2 linked regions of the Sus scrofa genome follow. The protein of the gene in region 1 interacts with the protein of each later gene in a pairwise test. Links are inferred from orthologs where the notes say so. Each region holds a gene or a part of one and is shown on either strand. Other genes may lie near its edges. The genes, in order: EML1 and ISG20L2.

Evidence for each region.
Region 2: the proteins of EML1 (region 1) and ISG20L2 interact in binary tests that used the Homo sapiens proteins (3 or more experiments, as listed by UniProt). The two-hybrid records come from large-scale screens. The link is inferred for Sus scrofa from reciprocal best matches to the Homo sapiens genes EML1 and ISG20L2.

What each region holds. Positions count from the first base shown.
Region 1 is NC_010449.5:120,866,564-120,870,372, forward strand, and holds part of EML1 (echinoderm microtubule-associated protein-like 1), read left to right. Parts: intron 1-154; coding exon 155-254; intron 255-2,627; coding exon 2,628-2,782; intron 2,783-3,809. UniProt on the Homo sapiens protein: Modulates the assembly and organization of the microtubule cytoskeleton, and probably plays a role in regulating the orientation of the mitotic spindle and the orientation of the plane of cell division.
Region 2 is NC_010446.5:93,364,545-93,369,085, forward strand, and holds the start of ISG20L2 (interferon-stimulated 20 kDa exonuclease-like 2), read left to right. Parts: upstream 1-1,643; 5' UTR 1,644-1,979; exon of another isoform or gene 1,980-2,561; 5' UTR 2,562-2,678; coding exon 2,679-3,395; intron 3,396-4,541. Other genes in the region: protein RRNAD1, read right to left, coding at 1,172-1,282. UniProt on the Homo sapiens protein: 3'-> 5'-exoribonuclease involved in ribosome biogenesis in the processing of the 12S pre-rRNA. Displays a strong specificity for a 3'-end containing a free hydroxyl group.

The sequences.
Region 1 (3,809 bases):
TGGTGGCTACAGCTCTGATTTGACCCCTAGCCTGGGAACCTTCATATGCCATGGGAGCGGCCCAAGAAATTGCAGAAAAAAGAAAAAAGAAAGAAAATATAAAAAAATAAAATTAAATTAAAATATATGTGAATGTTTTTTAAACATTCTGCAGAAGCAGGAAAAGCCGAAGTTTGTCCTCTGTGTGACTTTTTCTGAAAATGGTGACGCCATCACCGGAGATTCAAGTGGCAACATCCTGGTCTGGGGAAAAGGTAAGCAGTGCCTGCTCCCGGAGCAGACGGTTTTGGGTGACGTTTTAAGTAAGAAGCCAAGCGTGGCCTCCATAGAAATTGTCAGTTAACTTGCAGAGTTACTATCTGATTCCAAGCTAACACTGGTGCGTACGAGCAGGAGACTGGAACAGAGGCGAACAAGACTAGAAAGCTGCTGACTTCCGTCACTCTGAAAGGCTCTTCATAAGTCAGAAAGAGAAGGACAAATACCCTCTGATATCACTTATATGTGGACTCTAAAATATGACACAAATCTGTGAAACCAAAAGACTCACATAGACAACAGATGTGTGGTTCCCACAGGTGGGGAGGGGAGGATGGGGCTTGGGGTCAGCAGATATAAGCTATTATATATAGAATGGAAGGCCAGTGAGGTCCTACTATATAGCACAGGGAATTATATTCAGTATCCTGTGATAAACCATAATAGAGAAGAATTTGTTCTGTCCATGCCTGCAGCATGCAGAAGTTCCCCAGCCAGGGATCCACCCTGCACCACAGCAGTAACCAGGGCCACAACAGTGACAATGCCAGGTCCTTAACCCATTGAGCCACCAGGAAGCTCTGAAAAGAATATATTTTTTAAAATATGTACATTGGAGTTCCTCTCATGGCTCAGCAGTTAACGAAACCAACTAGCATCCTTGAGGATGCAGGTTCGATTTCTGACCTCACTCAGTGGGTTAAGGATCTGGCATTGCTGTGAGCTGGGGTGTAGGTCACAGACGCAGCTTGGATCTGGCATTGCTGTGGCTCTGGTGTAGGCCGGCAGCTGCAGCTCCGATTTGACCCCTAGCCTGGGAACCTGCATATTGTTGTGGGTATGGCCCTAAAAAACAAAAATAAAAATAAAAAATTAAAATTAAAATATGTATATTGGAGTGCCTGTTGTGGCTCATCAGGCTAAGAACCTGTTGTAGTCTCTGTGAGGATGCGGGTTGGATCCCTGACTTCCATCAGTGGGTTAAGGGTCCAGCATTGCCACAAGCTGCAGCGTAGGTCGCAGATGTGGCTCAGATCCAGCGTGGCCGTGGCCGTGGCATAGGCCTGCAACTGCAGCTCCAATTCCACCCCTAGCCCAGGAACTTCCATATGCTACAGGTGTGGACATAAAAAGAAAAAAAATTTTTTAATTTTACATAAAAAAGAATACATATATGTATGTATAACTGAATCACTTTGCTGTACAGCAGAAATTAACACAATATTGTAAATCAACTCAACCTCAGTAGAAAGTGAAATAAAAGGTTCAAGTCCAAGGCAGTCTAATGGGATTAACAGCTTTGTTAGGAGATCTGACAACAGTGGTGACAAAGTCATCCATGACCGTTTAGCTCTACAGTAAACTTTTCGGGTTCACAAAGCGCTTGGCCAAGGTCGACTGAGTACCGCTGCGTGGGGGCCGCGTGCCAGACGCCGGGCGTGCGGGTGCTCAGGTGGGAGTCCCCGCTGTCAGGGGGCGGACCGTGTGGTGAGGCCCATGACTCGGAAACATTCCCTCTGCCAAGTTCAGTGAGCACGCGTGCGCGCTCACCACGTGCCAGGAAGCCAAGGGGAGATGCCCCATCCCGGGCCTCAGGGGTCTCAGAGCTTGGGGTGGTTGGGGGCGAAGGTGGGAAGAGAACCCGTCAAGGTCACTTCGGACGAATTCAGTGGCTTCGGCATGTCCCCTGCTCCTCTGGGTGCCAGGGGCTCGACACACCGCTTCATTTCACCCCGAGAACAACCCAGTGGGATAAGCAGCAGCCCCGTGGCCAGAAACCGAGACAGAGCAGTTGCGTCACCTGTGCAGAGACACACAGCTCCCCTCTCAGCCGCACGTGGTCTGACTCTGCGCTATGCTTCGCGTCAGTGTGTTTCCTAATTAATGTTTAAAAGGCATGCTATTGCAGTGCAGTGGCTTCACAGTGTTGGGTTCATTTCTGCCCAGCAGCGGAGTGACTCGGCTACACACACATCTGTCCCTTTCTCGTATTCTTCTCCCTGATGGTCTGTCACAGGGTGTTGACTGGAGTCGCCCGTGCCCTGCAGAAGGACCCGTGGTTAATCCGTGCCCACACAGAATAGCCTGCCCCCGCTACTCCCAACCTCCCGGTCCATCCCGTCCCCTGCTTCCCTTAATTATAAAGTCACCCACGTCCTGCTTGTCTGGTGCTCTGGCAACGTCTAGAAAGCGGATCCTTAGGCGATTCGCACCAGAATGGTGTTCCGACAATATCACGTTTTCAAACAGAAAGGACCCCTTGCTGTACAGTGGGAAAATTAAAAAATAAAATAAAACAGAAAGGAAGCGAGTCGGGCAGAGGTGAGCCTTTTGACAAAGTGCTAAGCGTGTTTTCTTGCTGTGTTTAGGTACGAACCGAATAAGCTATGCAGTTCAAGGGGCCCACGAGGGTGGTATTTTTGCACTTTGTATGTTAAGGGACGGCACGCTGGTGTCGGGAGGCGGGAAGGACCGCAAACTCATTTCTTGGAATGGAAACTACCAGAAACTCCATAAAACCGAGGTAAGACAGCCAGTCATGTTATGGACGTTCGTTTTGAACCTTCAGTGGTTAGGCTGAGCCGTTTCCTTGTAGGCTCAAAATCTCTAGCTTACTGTTTTGCAAATTGCTTCGATAAACTGTTACTAAGGGGGGTAATATTTTGTAAAAACCATGGAAGCAGGTTAACGACCAAAATAGAATTAGGCTTATAAAATTTGAGGTTGTAACATTTCACATCTAGGATGTTATTATTATTACTATTATCATTATTTGGCTTTTTTAGGGCCACATCCACGGCACATGGAGGTTCCCAGGCTAGGGGTCGAATCGGAGCTGTAGCTGCCAGCCTACACCACAGCCACAGCCACAGCCACGCCAGATCCCAGCCACGTCTGTGACCTACACCCCAGCTCACAGCAGCACCCGATCCTTAACCCACTAAGCGAGGCCAGAGATCGAACCTGCAACCTCATGGTTCCTAGTCGGATTCGTTTGTACTGCGCCACAATAGGAACTCCATTGTGTAGCAGTTTTTACAAGATTTGACCAGCATTTGATTGAACCCTTGTTAAATTATAACCGTCACAGATACTCCGAAGCCTCTGGTTTTATGGAAGATATTCACCCCTTTGAAGTATCTACAGTTCCTCTTCATCAGCCTGGATTGTTATCAGCTTTTCTCAAATCTGTGCTAAGAAACCACGCTGGCAGTATAAACAGTTTGTACGTGAACAGGCTGCTTCCTGCCACCCCAGAACCTCGGTGCCTGGAGTCACCCCCAGAGTCTCGCTGCAATGTTTCTTCTTTATATAAAGTGCGAGGACCTCTGTTTATTTTATGATAGCAAATTGTTCTTGGCTGGTGTATTGTACAGTTATTTTTATTAACATTTAGATAATCCCATATGTTTACCAACATGAGCAGCGGGTTTCAAAACTAAAGTTACAGTTACAATACATTTTTAGGAAATCTTACTATGGCATATTTTATATATATGCATATATAAATATATATTGTATATATGTACACACACACATACATAATACAT
Region 2 (4,541 bases), on another chromosome or scaffold:
CCTGGCCTCCCTCAGTGGGTTAAAGATCCAGCATTGCTGTGAGCTGTGGTGTAGGTCGCAGACGTGGCCCAGATCCTGCCGTTACTGTGGTTATGGTGTAGGCCGGTAGCTGCAGCTTCGATTCGACCCCTAGCCTGGGAACCTCCATATGCCAAGGATGAGGGCCTAAAAAGACAAAAAGAGCAAAAGAAAAAGAAAAAGAAAGTGCAAAGGCCCAGATCAGGCCAGTGCAGGTGTAGTATCGTGAATGTGAAGGGGTCTAAAAAGGAACACAGATTATGCAGAACTTTATAGATAATGGTAAAGAATTAGAATTTCATCAAAGTACCTAAGAAACAAATAAGTGTCATCATCAGATTCACATTTTCAAAAGATCAATCTGTTTTATGAAGAATTGTTTATGGAGGAGAGGAAGCAAACACAGAGCTCAGTTAGGAAGTAGTCCAGGAGAGAGACAATGTTAGCTTGGCCTAGAGTGGTAGCAATGGCGATGGAGACAAATGGGTGAATTTGGTATCTATTCTGGAGGTTGAACCAAATAGGACTTGTTGAAGGACTGGATTGTAGATCAGTGAAGAAAAGAGCTAAATTGAGGATGGTTTCTGGGTTTGGGAGCTGAACAATTCGGAGGATGCTGGTGCCATTTATACATCATCTCATTTATTTTTCACAATCATCCTTCAAAAAGGGATCCATTTTACAGCTGAGAAACTGGGGCTAGGAGGAATTGTTTTAATGCCTAAGGTTAACACAGTAAGCGAGGCAGGATTCTAGTCCAAGTCTCTCATATTCCAAAGCTGGAATTGTCCATTACACTGCAAAACCAGGAATTTATTCAAGGCTTGAATGAATGAACATGTGTGTTCTTGGAACACCTCACACGTTCCTGGGAAAGTTCGACGCAGCTGCAGCAGCATGGCTCAAATATCCATGCATTTTACTACTTTGGATTTCAGAAGCTTAGAAAGACAACCCAGATGCTAACATATTAACATTTAGGTCAGAAGAAAAAAAGGAAGAGCAGCCTCAAACTTTTCTTGTACAGACAAAAGCCTGAAGAAACTCATATTAGAAGAGACCAGACGCTAACTCTCCAGATCCTCTCCTGTCGTGAGCACCTATCCACCACACAACCAGGAGGAGCACCCCACCCACACCCCTGTGGCCTCACAATGATGTAGGCGTCCAGGATGGAACGGTAGAGCGTCACGACCCGGGTGAGGTTCACAGCTAGTTGCCTCCTCTCCTCGTAAGAGAGGCCCCGGGCGGAAACCCCCGGCATTCCGGGGCCCAGCCGGTGGCGCGAGGAGCGACAATGCAGTGAGGAGGGAACAGGGTCAGGACTACACGGGTCCAGGACCCAGGCTGGATTCAGTTCTGCACTCGGAGCAGGAAGAAAGCGCTCAGAATCCAGCCCCCGATGCTGCCTTTCCGGGACTTCAGCCTGGGTGAAGACTTGAGGCGCCCTCCAGACGTCACAGGTCGCGACGTCCCATAGCGCGAAGGTGTCAGCGTCGGAGACACACCGGGCGGGGGGGGGGGGTTGCCAGCGCAGTGACGTCACAGAGGCGTCCCCCGGCGCCCCGCTCACGGAGAGGGGTGGGCCAAGCTCAGGTCCCGCCCCTTCCCGTACAACCCCCCCTCCCGGAAGTGAGGCCGGGGTCTCCCGCGCGCTGCAGTTCTCGTTTGTCGCGGCCTCCCTGAACCTTCGAGTTGTACCTCCACGGGGCTAGAGGGGCTGGGGAGCGCATCCCGCCCCCGCCCCCACCCACGCCGCCTCCCCCACCGCCGCCGCTGCCGCTCCCCACACACTCGGAATCCCTGGCCTCGCTCCCGGAGGCGGGGGCGCTGTGGGCTCGCGCGCGCAGGCCCCCGGCGCGTTCCAATCCGCGCGCCTGCCGGGCCGGGCCTCGTCGGCGCGTGCCAATTTCCGTATCCGGCTCCTGGCGCTTCCGGTCCTAGCTGGGCACATCTAGGAGGTAGGTGCGCGAGCGTGTGGGGACGGCCGAAGTGGTGCGGACGGCCGAAGTGTGCCGTCCCCCGCGTCGGTTTCTTCTCTGTTGATATGTGGTGTCAAAGGTCCTTTCTTGGGAGAAGGACTTGGGTGAGATGCATGTGGCGATTTCCCCCACCTGGAGATCAGGGACAGGGGTTCCTGGAACCCGCGCTGGGGATGCCTGGGTAAGCCAGAGGTCGTCTGTGGCATACCCCACACTGCCTTCGAGCATACTTAGACGTTCTCTCCCTGGACAGATGAGATAGCTCACCTATTCGGGCGTTCTAGATCACAGAGTTTCAGCTGGTTGGCCCTGCAACCCCCTCAGTTTGCGGTTGAGACAGATATTGAGAAGGGAAATGGCCTTCCTGTACAGCTGCTGAATTGTGGGGCTGTCCTAGAACCCAGGCTTCCTGGCTGAGAAGAAGTGCTCCTTCCATCATTTCACATTATCTGAGAGGTTACTCTGATGTCTTTCTCTCTCTTAAGTCCTAGGGAGATGGGTCTTATCTTACGGGTTCCCAAGCCTATGGGTTCCCATTATCAGTATCACCTTCTTCCCCAGGGTATACTGCAGACCTCCAGATGTTGGTCTGTGGGATTCGGCAGAGGATGAGTTTTCTATCCTCCTCTCAACTGTAAGCTACTCTTCCCAACTGTTCTCCCGCTGTCCACTGTCATCATGTCTACCTTACTCCTCAATCTGGATTTTGGTGAACCTCCCCCAAAAAAGGCATTAGAGGGGAATGCCAAGCACCGAAAATTTGTCAAGAAGCGCCGGCTCTTGGAACGGAAGGGCTTTTTGAATAAGAAACAGCAGCCCCCTAGCAAGGTGGCTAAGTTGCAATCAGAATCGTCAAAGAAAGGGAAATCTCCCAAGGTAGATGGCGCTTGGAAGGCCCCTCTTCTTTCAAAAAAGAAGACAGCTGCCTCCAGCGGTGGGTCAGGGCAGTCTCTGGACAAGCCATCTGCAGTGCCTTGGCTGACCCCTGCCCCTTCACAGAAGGCTGGTTCTGTTGTGGCCAAAGTAGACTTACTGGGGGAGTTCCAGAGTGCCCTACCAAAGATTAAGAGCCACCCAACTCGCCCCCGGAAGAAGGGCTCCCAGAAGAATGCCCCACAGAATTCCACCCAAGCTCATTCCGAGAAGAAATATTCTGGAGCATCCCAGAAGGGTCCGAGCAAGATGGTGGCAATTGACTGTGAGATGGTGGGCACAGGACCCAAAGGGCATGTCAGTTCCTTGGCTCGGTGTAGTATTGTCAACTACAATGGAGATGTGCTTTATGACGAGTACATCCTTCCCCCCTGCCACATTGTGGACTACCGGACCAGGTGGAGTGGTATTCGGAAGCAGCATATGGTGAATGCCACACCCTTCAAGATTGCTCGAAGCCAGGTGAGAGGCTGGGGGGACAGGTGGTCGTGGAGAAGTGGGTGGGAGAAGTCCAAATCATTTCTCCCCAAAAGATAGCACCCTGGAAAGGCAGTTGTGGAGGGAGGTATGGAGTGGGTGGAATAGCAGATGATGAAGAAGACTTTTCTTTGGGGAAAAGGAGTGGGGAGGGTCTGGAAAGTTACAACTAGTTGGTATAACTTTATTTATTTATTTTGTCTTTTTATCTTTTCTAGGGCCGCACCTTCGGCATATGGAGGTTCCCAGGCTAGGGGTCCAATCGGAGCTGTAGCCGCCAGCCTACACCACAGCCACAGCCACGCCAGATCCGAGCTGAATCTGCGACCTACATCACAGCTCACAGCAATGCTGGATCCTTAATCCACTGAGTGAGGCCAGGGATTGAAGCCGCAACGTCATGGTTCCTAGCTGGATTCATTAACCACTGAGCCACGACGGGAACTCCACAAACTTTATTAGTTAAGATCTACTTTAGGTCCCAAGTGGAATCCTATACTGGAGGAGTGGGAGTCTACTAGAGAAATAACAGCCATGATGGACAGAGCAGCAGGCATGCATGCCAGGGGGAAAGGGCTTAAGCCATTCTATGCCTTGTAGAGGTTGAGTCTAGGGTTGAGAACAGAGAAGTGGTGAGGGCTTCCCACACAAGACATAGTCTGTGGCAGTGTGGAAAGTTGGTGGTCGGAGAGGGCAGAATGTTGACAGGAGGAGCTGGGGTATGTGTATATACCTGGAACAGGGAGCCTGCAGTGAAGGGGATAAAAGACACAGGACGGGTATGTCGGGGTTCTTCTCTCACTCATTGAGCAAACCTTACTCTAAGCCCTTATGGTGAATATTGGAGGCACAGGCAAATGAATAGGAAAGGAGGGGGAGCTGGTAGAGTTGAAAGGGAAGGAAGAGTGGGCGCACTGGCCTTGGAAGACCTCCAGAGGGCGCCCTTGGCTTTGTAATTTCAGCTCCACATTCTTTGCCTTTCCTGGACACACACTGTTCCAGTAATTCTTTACACGCCAGAGCAGTCAGTTGGAGGAATTTCATCAGAGGTGGAACAATTGGATTTTAGAAAGAACTCGAAGAGTTGAAGGATGTCCTATGCACCAGGGGCACAGCTGAGCACAGGCCTGG